Linked DNA regions of Neurospora crassa OR74A. The protein of the gene in region 1 interacts with the protein of each later gene in a pairwise test. Links are inferred from orthologs where the notes say so. Each region holds a gene or a part of one and is shown in the gene's direction. Other genes may lie near its edges.

Region 1 (5,677 bases):
AATGAGTAAAGGTATCTGCGGCGGCGGAGATGGGTATGGCATGATGTAGCAGAGATGTCTTGATGCTGCTGCTACTGCGTACCACGTTTCAGAAAGATAGAAGGAAGACGCCTTTAGGTACACAAGTAATACCACGAATGACGACCAAGCAAGGTCCTGAACGGACGGAATAATGGTGCGATGTGCAATATGATGTGAGTGACAACAAGCCACCCAGTTTGATTATATGCTTCTCTAAATGGTATCTCTTTTTTCCCTTCCTCGCTGCGTTGTGATTCCGTACTCCAACTCCAACTTCAACTCCAACTCCAACAGCCCAGCCACTCAACCAAGCTTATCAGCGTCCACATCCGGGTCAAATATCGAGATCTGGTTCATGGTCTTCTTCGTTTGCTTGACTCTTTCGTCCTTGAGCATGCGCGCATCCATTCTCGCATCCTCGCCCTCGACCCTGAGAGCAGCCTTGGGCGTCACGGCCTCGATGATGTAGTGGTTGTCGCAGTGCGGGCAGTATTCGTCGGAATCCTCGAACTCGGTCGCATCCTTGCGGAAACACTTTTTGCACTTTTTGCAGGCAAAAGTCATCTCGAGTGTCTTCTTAAGGGGGTGCGACTCGGACTCGGCGTGGCATTCGGGACAGTCGAACCATTTGCGGCCTGCGTAGGAGGTGGGTGTAGAGTTAGAGGTCATGTTTATATGGCTGCGATGTTCGGTGTTGTTGTCGTTGTATACTGGTAATAGGGAATCGTGGTGGTTCGTTTATTTGAGACTGAGGTTACGTACAGCATGGTGACCGGATGGAGACTTGAGCATTGAGAACGTGTTTACTGGATGGGAGAGGATCTAGTTAGCAGGTGGTTCGTGGAAGTGGTCTACACGAGCAAACAAGGGGAACATAAGTAGAAGGCATGCCGAAGTGTCAGGTCATGGCATGGCAGGTGGGAGTTTACTTACCACATGATGACAGACAGGAAGAGGTTACTTATGCGCAGAGAGGTAGATAGTGTAGATGGCTCGTTCTGATCCCTGATTTTATGATATTTCGTCGTTGTTGGGTTCTATGTGGTATGTACGACACCAAGATTCTTTCGACGTCGCTTCGTTCTCCTTGATCGCCAATGTTCACGTCCGGAAAAAAAAGGGTTCACCGAACTTTATCACGGCACTTAACGCGGTCGTCCCGTCGCCCCCCCCTTCGTCCACCCACCCAGACCAGAACCGACCCGACCACCACTCAACGCGGGGTGCTTTTCGGACTGGACAGCGGGTGACACGGGTGGAGCCTGCAACTGAGGGAGTGCACTGAACGCCGAACGGTTCCCTCCACTTCCAGGTTGGCTCCAGAAGACTCGCTTCCCCACAAAATAAGCGTGGCTGATGACTAAACTAGCGTGTCTGGCCCCTGTCGGCCTTGCTGTCACAGCGGCTCGGGCGCCCGGCTCCTACGGTATCGCCTTAACAATTTCCATAACAGGACAGGAACCGCAGTGTAAGCAAACTAGGCCTGCTGTACTTGTACCCTACAATACCTCTGCTTGTAGAGCCAGGTATCTACCGTAGCGTACAAAAGACAAAGTGGAATTTCATCATCCATTTCAAACTCCCATCCTTTCAACCTTGTATTCTTTTTTTGCCACTGCACTGGCATTCTTCATTTGTCCGCCTGCTAATCCATCCTTCTAGAACTGAAACTGCTAGAAATAGATAAAACAGAGCAGAGACAAGAAAGAAAGAAAGGAGATCACGTTTTCGTCATACACATAATGCCGCCCAAGCGAAAAGCGGTCGGCGCCCCCCAGGCCGGCGTTGCCAAAGCTGGCCGCACTTCGGCCCTGTCCACTCCCGGCCCCGCGACTCCCCGCAGCCTCGAGAGCTCGTTCCAGTCGGACGGCGATGATGATTTGAACGACGACGACGTCGACGAGGTCATCAAGAGGAAAGAGGAGGTGATTGCCCGCGAGGCCGACGAGTTCGTCAATACATGGGCCGTCGATAGTAGCCGTTTCCAGGCCCGACAGGACGGTGGCGGCAGTCATCGTGACGGCGCCACCCAGTTCTTTGGCAGCGGGAAACGCGACTTTTCGTATCTGAACTTGAAACCCGACCACGACCAGAAGCCGCTGTGGATCGACCCGGAGAAGGGCACCATCATACTCGAGAAGTTCAGCCCGGACGCCGACCGCGTCACCGACTTCCTCGTCACCATTGCCGAGCCCAAGTCACGGCCGCATTTCCTGCATGAGTATCAGTTGACCGCCCACAGTCTCTACGCTGGTGTGTCCATTGGCCTGCAGTCAAAGGATATTATAGACACCCTGGATCGCTTCCTCAAGACCCCCCTGCCCGAGTCCATTCGTCTCTTCATTGAGTCGTGCACAAAGAGCTACGGCAAGGTGAAACTCGTGCTGAATAACAACAAGTACTTTGTAGAAAGCTCGGATGCCGAGTTGTTGCAGAAGCTGCTCCGCGATGAAGTAATCGGAAAGTGGCGTGTCCAGGGCTCCGGTGATATTACCACCTCCTATGCGCCCACCATGGGCGGCCTGGTCATCCCCGGCACCAAAGATGCCGCCGGTGTGAACCAGGCAGGCCTCAACAAGTCTGGCAACAAGAAGACTGCCGAGGATGGGGCCGCGGACGCTGCGGCGACTAACGAGGCAGACCTCTACGCAGCCATCAATGAGGAAGACGACGAGGACGACAAGGACGCCGTCCATGCCTTTGAGATCCCCGAAACCGCCGTCGAGATTGTCCAACGACGCTGTCTTGACCTAGGATTTCCCATCTTGGAGGAGTACGACTTCAGGAACGACTCTAATAACGCGGATCTGGAAATCGATCTGCGACCAAACACACAGATTCGTCCGTACCAGGAGCAGAGTCTCAGCAAAATGTTTGGTAACGGCAGAGCAAAGAGTGGCATCATTGTTCTGCCGTGCGGTGCAGGCAAGACCTTGGTCGGCATTACGGCTGCCTGCACCATCAAAAAGGGTGTCATCGTCCTGTGTACCAGCAGTATGTCCGTCGTGCAATGGCGCCAGGAGTTCCTCAAGTGGTCCAACATCAACCCCGACGATATTGCCGTCTTTACCGCTGAGAGCAAGAACAAGTTCTCTGGTAATACGGGTATCATTGTTACTACATATTCTATGGTTACCAACAACCGAGAACGATCTCACGACTCCAAGAAGATGATGGATTTCCTCAAGAGTCGTGAATGGGGTCTGATGCTTCTCGACGAGGTCCACGTCGTCCCTGCCGACGTCTTCCGAAGAGTTATCTCTTCCATCAAGTCGCACTCCAAGCTGGGTCTCACAGCCACCCTGCTCAGAGAAGACGACAAGATTTCCCACTTGAACTTCCTAATCGGCCCCAAGCTCTACGAGGCCAACTGGATGGAGCTATCCGAAAAGGGTCACATCGCCAAGGTCCAGTGCGCAGAGGTGTGGTGTCCTATGCCCACCGAGTTCTACGACGAGTATCTTCGTGCCAACTCGCGCATGAAGCGCACTCTTTACGCCATGAACCCCCGAAAGTTCCAGGCCTGCCAGTACCTGATCAACTACCACGAAGCCCGCGGCGACAAGATCATCGTCTTCTCCGACGAGCTGTACTCACTAAAACAATACGCCCTCAAGCTAAATAAAGTCTTTATCTACGGCGGCACCGGCCAAGCCGAGCGCATGCAAGTGCTCGAAAACTTCCAGCACAACCCGCAAGTCAACACGCTCTTCCTCTCCAAGATCGGCGACACCTCGCTCGACTTGCCCGAAGCCACCTGTCTCATCCAAATCTCCTCCCACTTCGGTTCCCGTCGTCAGGAAGCCCAGCGCCTAGGCCGTATCCTCCGAGCCAAGCGCCGTAACGACGTCGGCTTCAACGCCTTCTTTTACTCACTCGTGTCCAAAGACACGCAGGAAATGTACTACTCGTCCAAGCGCCAGGCCTTCCTGGTCGACCAGGGCTACGCCTTCAAGGTGATCACGCAGCTGGCCAACATCGAGAACACGCCCGACCTGGCCTTCGCCACGGCGCAGGAGCGGCGCGAGCTGCTGCAGCGCACACTGGTCGACAATGAAAAGGGCGCCGAGGATGATGTCGAGACGGACGATCTGTTTGGTAAGGTCGGGCGCGGAAGGGGTGGCGCAAAGGGCAGAGCGGCGGCGGTTCGGAGAATGGCTGGAACCCTGGGCGAGCTCAGTGGTGGTCAGGATATGGCGTACATTGAGCAGAACAAGGCGGCGAATAAGGGGTTGAAGAAGAAGGGTGCCGCCAAGGCGGAGCAGAGCGCCTTCTTCAAGAAGCTGCAGAGGGAGAAGGAGAGGAGTCGGGCTTTGGCGAGACAGGGCTAGAAGAAACCGTCTTGATTTGGGGTCTTTGACTTGTATTCTCCCTCTCTCTTTTTGCGCTCATTTTGCATCGTCCGTCCGTATTTATAAAGCCTGCGAAGAAATTTCATTGCTATAAGGAGATATATCCACTTTCCGGAAAGTTAAACTGGAATTTATGGTTAGGTGTGTAATCGTTCTCCATAGACGGAAAAAGCAGTAGTCTTAAGACATCCATATTATCAGTGTCATATTGTGGCACTCATTTGGATGGTCACGAAATCGTAATATACAATTTAAAAGGGTTTTTTTTGAACATAACACAAATATATTAATTGCCTTGCTCAATGGATGAATGCACCTTAATTCACACAAGTTTGATATGTCACCTAACTTTCAACAAGTGCCTTCTCACTCACTCACTCACTCATTATGAATTAGCTAGTGATCAGTAGGTAGGGTAGTACCAGTATCATTCAAGCTTTCATCTTCATGTTCTCATCATCTTCATTCCATCATCAACCTCCCTCTATTTACCCATCCATCCATCCATCCATCCATCTCACCAAACCCGTCCGTTTCAAATACCCTTCCATTCCATTCACAGTAATGTAATGTACAGTGTTTTCAAACGGCAAAAAAATCACCTCACCTCACATACAATACCCCCTAGGAAACAATCCCACTTCACCCATATACCAACCCACCCCCCACTCCTCATTCAGCCCTTCCACCTCGGTGATCTCGGCCCCCTTGGGGAAAATCAGCTCGTTCTTGGCTTCCGGGGAAGATCGGTACCAGCTAAACCGGGCAACCACGCGTGTTCCCGTGCCGCCATCGGGTGGGAACAGGTCGGTTGTTGTTAGTCGGCCGTGGTGGTGGGGTGCTGATGAGGAGGTAGGCGATGTTGGTGAGGTTGGTGAGAAAAGTGGTGATGATGGGGATAACGGGTCTTCCTCTGAGGGGGAATGGTCGGGTAAGATGGCGGGGTGGGAGACGTCTAGGGAGACTAGACGTTGGAGAAGGAGGAATTTTTGGTTGGGTTGCTTGTCTTCATCTTCGTTGTCGTTGTTGGTGGTGTCGTTGGTGTCGTCTTGGTCTGCTTTGGAAGAGGATGAGGACGCACGACGGGAGGTATGCGAGGTATGGGAGGCATGGGAGGAAGTGGGAGAGGGTAGTAGTAGTGGCGACGACGAAGATTCCGCGTCATGCTGCCAACTCCAAATTTGCATTCCCCTTACGCCCCCGAGCAGGAAACTCTCAATCTTTAGGCGGTGTCCGCCGACAATCTCGTTCAACACTTTCCTCCTTTCAACGCCCGTTCGGTCGTCGGTAATAAAGGAAACGAT
Region 2 (6,897 bases), on another chromosome or scaffold:
GAGCCTCCGCGAGATGTGTCCCAATTTGTCCCTTCACGCCTAGCCATCTTAACGAAACCAAGCCATGGCCTGTTAACTTACCTGCTCGGCAACGTCTGCATGACAATTTCTCTGTGGTTCCGCGAAAGGTACCTACACACACACACACATACACACACATACTTATATATACGGTGGTTGAAGACCCGGGTCAACTACACCATTCGCGTACTTCAAGAAGACTGCCATTCCTCATGTTAGTCCACGGACTTGACTGGCTCACTTAGTCATCTGGCCCTCACCTTTTACCTACGTGTTCTCGATTCTGTTACATCCTCTCTCCTTCCTCTCCTCGTTCTCTTCGCTTTCTGCAACACCAATGCGGAATCTCTACTCCGGTTCCGGAAATGCCGGTATTCTCAGGTTGCATGATGTCTTTCCCAATCAGAAACTATGGGCAAAAGAGCTTCCTGTCTCTGTCGAGACGTTACGACTATCAAGGGCAAGTAAAGTCCAATAAGCACCAAGTGGCCTCGAATGATGAATAGTCTTGTGTTGTGTAACAACAATGTAGCCACTGTAGCCCCTTTCAGCGTCGTTCGTTGGCTGTCTCTGTCTGGGTTACTGTAGTCGAGCATTACACTTGGAGGCGAAGGGTCTGAAACTCGCCATCTCGATGCCTTCGGTAAATTTGCCTGTCTGTCCTTGTGTCTTGTCTTTGTTTTGGTGATGTGTTGTTGCAGACAGGACGGGGAAATGTCAACCTCGACTCCAGACCGCTTCCGTGGTTCAGAACCTCTGGTTTCCATAGCCCGAGGCATACCTAGACACACCACAGTCGGTTTTGTGTCACTCGAAACACGTTTCTAGGTGAAAAAAAAGGTTCGAGTTGAGGTGGATATGTCGTCTTTTCCGTGTAACAAAGGACCCTTGATCTTCGTAGGACATTTCCTGATGTGTGTGCGAGTGCGTCGTGTCCGTGTGCTCCCCGGTAGCGAGTTCCAGATCCCACAAGTCGGTTCTTTGTTGCGTAGCTAACAAATTCTCGACAGATACTGAGAGCGACTTAGTTCGATGGCGATGGCCACTTCTTGGAAGAAAGACCGTAAAAGAAAAGCCATTAATTCGCCAGGAAAAATACAATGTTGCTTCGGGCTTCTGGGAGGATTATGCTGGAAGCATTTTGAACAACAAAAAGACACCAAACCTACCCCTTTTTTTAGACTGGTGAAAGCAAAAAGGACAGGATGCATGGAATCCGAAAGTAACCTTCATCATGCAGGTGGATGTTGTTGGGGTTACCTATCAGTTCGAAAAGTGTTCCCAATGGGGACCATCCGTTGCCGTCATGATGCAACTTTGCGCTGTCAATTGAAGCTGCATGACGTGGGTGGGACGGGCCTCGAGCCAGGGGGGGGGGAAACATATAAGTAAGAAGTAAAAATAACAATAACAATACTAATAAAATTTGAGAACTTTCAACACCTTGTGTTCCACGATGCCAGTCGGGGCAAAGCTTTTCATTGCAGTGATGGTGTGGTACTTTGTGCAGGATCTCATGAGCCAAGGTGCCGAAGCCCTATCATGATTACAGCAACCGTACAAGTTGCGTTTGTTGGCCTGTGAGCAGATGACTATTCACATATGCTTGAGCCCAGCTGGAGCATGGTTCTTGTTCGCCATGATACGTACGACCGTGGGGGTTTGTTAACAATGAGCTCGCTTCTGGCCACCCTTTCTCTGGTTCTGCGCCCTCTGCCTGCAGACGAGAGACAGGATTACAGAAATCCAGATATCTTCGGGTGCTGCCACGACAACATGTCCAGGGATTGATCAACAATGGCGTTAATGACTCACGGTAAGAGCAGAAACTAGCAGCTGCGAGACAGCCGCAGTGCAGTTTGCGGTTCGATGTCAACCTACGACAAGCGAACACCGGCTCACAATAGTTGCTGATGCAATGCACTTTCGATGACGGACCAATGTCGAGCTCGAGACGCGGGATGTGCAAGAAGAGACAAAAATCGACAGACCGCCCTTCATGTTGCCGTTAGGACCGGGACGCTACCTCTACTGGTAGTGTGTGTACCTAGTCACAGGTACCTCCTTATCGGGCTCGGCACCCGAATCTGTCCGTTATCGAGTGGGCAAATCGGCAGGCTTGGCGTTGCCCGCTGTCTGGCGAGTCCCGTCTGGATGTCCCCAGTGCAAGATGGTTCAGGGGTTTCCGTGTCCGGACCGGGTGGGTGGAAGACCCGGCACCCCACATCACATTGTCCCCAACCTCCCCCGACAGTCCAACCTCACAACCGACGCGCCGTGGCACGATGGCCCTGTCGGGTGCGGGTGAACATTTGACTAAAGAATTTGTTGGAAACCCCGAATATTCGCCCTTCTATCGGAAAGCGTTGTACAGACCTTGTCTCTCACAGGGGGCAACTTTAACCGGCGCCTGTCGATTCGGTCGCCGAAAGGGCAGACAGCGGCTTCAGACAGGATCAGGATGTGCATGCGTGTTGAGGTTTTTGTGCTCGTGCTTGCGTACGTAGGTAGCTATGCCTGCACGCGAGCGATTGTCTTTTCCATCTGATTCCGATACCAAGTCCCCCCAGCTGGGGGGAACTGTTGAGGAGCCATTGAAAGGTGAACGAATCGACCAGGGAATGCGAGATCAAAGAACCATCCCGGGGTAAATCACATTCTCTCTTTTGACGTTATTATGTACTGTGTATTTCTTGGGGATATCGGCGATGGGCGTTTGCCATTGGTCGTGGCACGGGGTCGTATCACTAGCAGAGTCCCAACATATCGTGAAATAAACATATGATTCGACTTTGCAATCTGAAATGCCAATGTCCTCTGCCCCGGACCGGACAGGCAGATGCCACCTACGGGCGGGCAAGTCTAGAGCCCGAAAACCCCGGAGCTTGGACAATGGCTGCGAGATCCCTGTATGTACCAACTTGTATGGTAGTCTACCCCCAATTGTATACCTCTAGGTGCCCTGGCGCGCGATCTCGGACGCCCCAGAGTCCCGTCTCCCCCCTTGACCGCCCGCCGCCCGGCCGCCGCGCGCGTGGTGCATGGGAAATGGAGCTCCAACAATCTCCAGGGCAGACGTGCATCCACATCGGAACCACCTCACGAGAGGCTAATGAGGTACATCTCCCGCCATGTCCCTTGCGGGCGCCCTTGGCCTGTTTGTCGGGTCCCCAGGTATATAAAGAAGGCTCGTCAACCAACGTCTCTGATTGTTCTTTTGTTTCGATCCCCCATCGTCTTCAGAAAGATCCATCCCGGTCACAATCTCGCACTCCCCCCCCTTAAAGCAACTAACCATCTGATCGCGCTCCCGAGCCGCGATCCCATCATCCGCCAAAACGTTTTCCAACCTACTCAACTCGTAAGTCGACGGTTTCCAGGTTTCTGCCGCCGCTTGCATGTTCCTGCCATCCCTACGACCGCCCTTCTGTTGCGTTTTCAAGCCCTCGCTTGTTGACCCTTCACCACGCGGGTTGGTGTGAGTGAAGGGTCGGGGGAAATGTGTTTGAGGTCGTCCCATATTCCCTAGCCCAGTCACAGCCCTTGCGGCTCTGCGCTTTGTGCCACTGGCGGCCGTAAGAAAATATCACAATCTTTAGATCTTTCACTAATATAAATTATCAGAGTCCATCACCCGTACGCAGGAGCCCGTTGTTCTGCCTCGCCCGGAAGTTCAGCGGACTCGGTCTTTACCCCATAAAAGACCGTCAACAGCCAAGATAGCCAACCAACCACTTACCTGCACCTGAACAACCACCTTTACCGTCAACATGACTACCAACGGTATCAACGGCACCAACGGCGCTCATGCCAACGGTGATGGACATATCAACACCACCCCCAAGACTTTCGTTGTCAACTCCCCCAACGTAGTCTACACCGACGAGGAGATCCGCTCCAAGTACACCTACCGCACCACCCTGTGCACTGTCGAGGGCGACAACTATGTCGCCGTCCCCAAGGAGACTGTCTACGACTTCAAGGTCGACAGAAAAGTCCCCAAGACCGGTCTGATGCTGGTCGGCTGGGGTGGCAACAATGGCACCACCGTGACCGCCGGCATCCTGGCCAACAAGCACAAGTACAGCTGGGCTACCAAGGAGGGTACCCAGGAGGCCAACTACTACGGCTCCGTCATCATGGGTTCCACCATCAAGCTCGGCATCGACGCCAAGGGCAAGGATGTCAACGTTCCCTTCCACAACGTCCTTCCCATGGTTCACCCCAACGATCTCGTCATTGGCGGCTGGGATATCTCCGGCATGCCCCTCGACAAGGCCATGGATCGCGCCAAAGTCCTTCAGCCTACCATGAAGGAGCTTGTTCGCGAGGAGATGTCCAAGATGGTCCCCCTGCCCTCCATCTACTACCCCGACTTCATTGCTGCCAACCAGGAGAACCGTGCCGACAACGTTCTCCCCGGCTCCAAGGCCTCCATGGAGCACGTTGAGCAGATCCGCAAGGACATTCGCGAGTTCAAGGCCGCCAACGGCCTCGACAAAATTATTGTCCTCTGGACTGCCAACACCGAGCGTTACGCCGACTTGATTGACGGCGTCAACGACACCGCTGACAACCTCCTCAAGTCCATTGAGGCCGGCCACGAGGAGGTCTCCCCTTCCACCATCTTCGCCGTTGCCTGCATTCTCGAGAGTACTCCCTTCATCAACGGCTCCCCCCAGAACACCTTCGTCCCCGGCGCCATCGAGCTTGCCGAGAGACACGGTGCCTTCATCGGCGGAGACGACTTCAAGTCCGGTCAGACCAAGATGAAGTCTGCCCTGACCGACTTCCTCATCAATGCCGGTATCAAGCTGACCTCGATTGCGTCCTACAACCACCTGGGCAACAACGACGGCTACAACCTTTCCTCGCAGAAGCAGTTCCGCTCCAAGGAAATTTCCAAGTCCAACGTGGTCGACGACATGGTGGCCGCCAACAGCGTCCTGTACAAGGAGGGCGAGCACCCCGATCACACCGTTGTGATCAAGTACATGCCCGCCGTCGGCGACGACAAGCGCGCCCTTGACGAGTACTACGCCGAGATCTTCTGCGGCGGTCACCAGACCATCTCGCTCTTCAACGTGTGCGAGGACTCCCTCCTTGCCTCGCCCCTGATCATCGATCTCGTCGTCATCACCGAGATCATGACCCGCATCCAGTGGAAGGCTGCTGAGGCCGGCGCCGCTGCCGAGAAGGACTTCAAGCACTTCCACAGCGTCCTGAGCGTCCTCAGCTACATGCTCAAGGCCCCCCTCACTCCCCCCGGCACTCCCGTCGTTAACGCGCTTGCCAAGCAGCGTGCTGCCCTTACTAACATTTTCCGCGCTTGCGTCGGTCTCGAACCTGAGTCTGACATGACCCTTGAGCACAAGCTCTTTTAGGCTGTCAAACGTCAATCATACACGGCTGCAAGCACATTCTTGAGTGGAGGATTTTGAGATCTGAGCTTTTAGATGGAGGGATTTTGGGATAATGCGAGCCAGCCTGAGAGTCGCTGTTTGCAACAGCACAGCGTTAATGGGAAATTTTGAGAAAATGGTTAAGAGCGGGTGATATGCTGCCAGGAGGGAAATTAGAAAAGAAGATCATAGTTAGTAGCTTGATCTTTGCTAGATGCCTTGAAAGGTACAATAATGAACACCGTTCTTACATGTGTGGTTTTGCTCGACCTTGGTGATTGGTGTACGGTACTACTGTGGTGGTTGTTGACCGTGATACAAACTCCTACCACATAAACCACAACATCTTGTCATACTTGACTCAACATTCTCATCCTTGACAATTACTTTTCCTCCTCAGGTACTATCATTCCACGTCCATCAAGCGGTAACATATCAACCATTGGAGTCACCAACGCCCGTTTTCTCGAACATCTTCACCATTCCACGCCCAACACACAGAGCCGCTTGACCCCCGCAGACCACCCAAACGTCAAGGTAACACGGGAGTACAACAGCCGTTCTTCCAAATCTCTAAGTTCCAATGGGTCGACTTTGATCAGGTCCTTCCAGACATGTTGATGAGATTGAGGCACAGCATAGTAAGCATCGTGATTGTCTTCATGTGAAGTAGCAAGGTCAGAGACATCGTTATTCGGCAATGATTCAGTCGCTGTTCCATGCTCGCCGTCAAAACAGATGCGACGACCACCTCTGAGCAACTCAGACCATGCTCTGTCGCTCCAGACCAACTTGCACGGGGTGACGCATCCTGTTTCGTCCGCGACAGGTCCGATTACACGGGGGTTAATGGTCAGTTCGCAGTCTTTGTGGCAGTTCTTGCACGTCGCGGAGGACTGGTTGGAGTAAAGTGGAAAGTTGCAACTAGAGATAGGCAATGTCAGTTTTCAGTAACTAGTCTTTTTTTCTCGCCAAGAAAGGAAACAAGAGGCATGCTATTCTGCACCAGCTGCACTGGCGACCTGCGATGGGAATCGCTGCGTCTTCGGGCAACGATCAAGATACGAACTTCGTTCGAAAGCAAGTGGGAATGAAAGAGAAAAATACGGAGGACGTGGCGGGGCTCTTTTCAACCATCAATGAAGGCGACAAAAACAACAAGAAGCTCAGTCGCCCAGGAAACTTGGGGGAACGAACCACCATGCTCCAGCAGCGACCTACAAAAGCTGTACCACGGGTACCTCGCACACCGGCGATGTTTCTGTGAGTAAGGCCTGGTTCCAGACCTTATACATGATACGGTCCGTAGGTAGAGGGGTAAAGATGAGCGATGGGAGAAAGGCAGTCTTGTGTGAAGTACCGTACAGGCTAGTTACGGTAAACTGACTCACCATTCGAAACAACAAAGTCTGTTCTGTCTCTGGCTCTCGCAGATACTGACACCAAGGATGAGGACGTTGAGTTTCCCGGTAAA

What was found. The genes of interacting proteins can lie anywhere in the genome.
Region 2: the proteins of NCU06438 (region 1) and inl interact in a protein complementation assay, tested with the Saccharomyces cerevisiae proteins (2 studies listed by BioGRID). The link is inferred for Neurospora crassa OR74A from reciprocal best matches to the Saccharomyces cerevisiae genes SSL2 and INO1.

Annotation. Positions count from the first base shown.
Region 1 is NC_026503.1:1,414,487-1,420,163, reverse strand, and holds NCU06438 (DNA repair helicase RAD25), read left to right. Parts: upstream 1-1,529; 5' UTR 1,530-1,763; coding exon 1,764-4,352; 3' UTR 4,353-4,626; downstream 4,627-5,677. Other genes in the region: NCU06439 (zinc finger protein), read right to left, coding at 325-656, 784-827, 955-959; NCU06437 (hypothetical protein), read right to left, coding at 4,982-5,677. UniProt on the Saccharomyces cerevisiae protein: ATP-dependent DNA translocase. Component of the general transcription and DNA repair factor IIH (TFIIH) core complex. When complexed to CDK-activating kinase (CAK), involved in RNA transcription by RNA polymerase II.
Region 2 is NC_026505.1:4,182,971-4,189,867, reverse strand, and holds inl (inositol-3-phosphate synthase), read left to right. Parts: upstream 1-3,025; 5' UTR 3,026-3,382; intron 3,383-3,645; 5' UTR 3,646-3,791; coding exon 3,792-5,405; 3' UTR 5,406-5,881; downstream 5,882-6,897. Other genes in the region: NCU10547 (hypothetical protein), read right to left, coding at 5,900-6,347, 6,815-6,897. UniProt on the Saccharomyces cerevisiae protein: Key enzyme in myo-inositol biosynthesis pathway that catalyzes the conversion of glucose 6-phosphate to 1-myo-inositol 1-phosphate in a NAD-dependent manner. Rate-limiting enzyme in the synthesis of all inositol-containing compounds.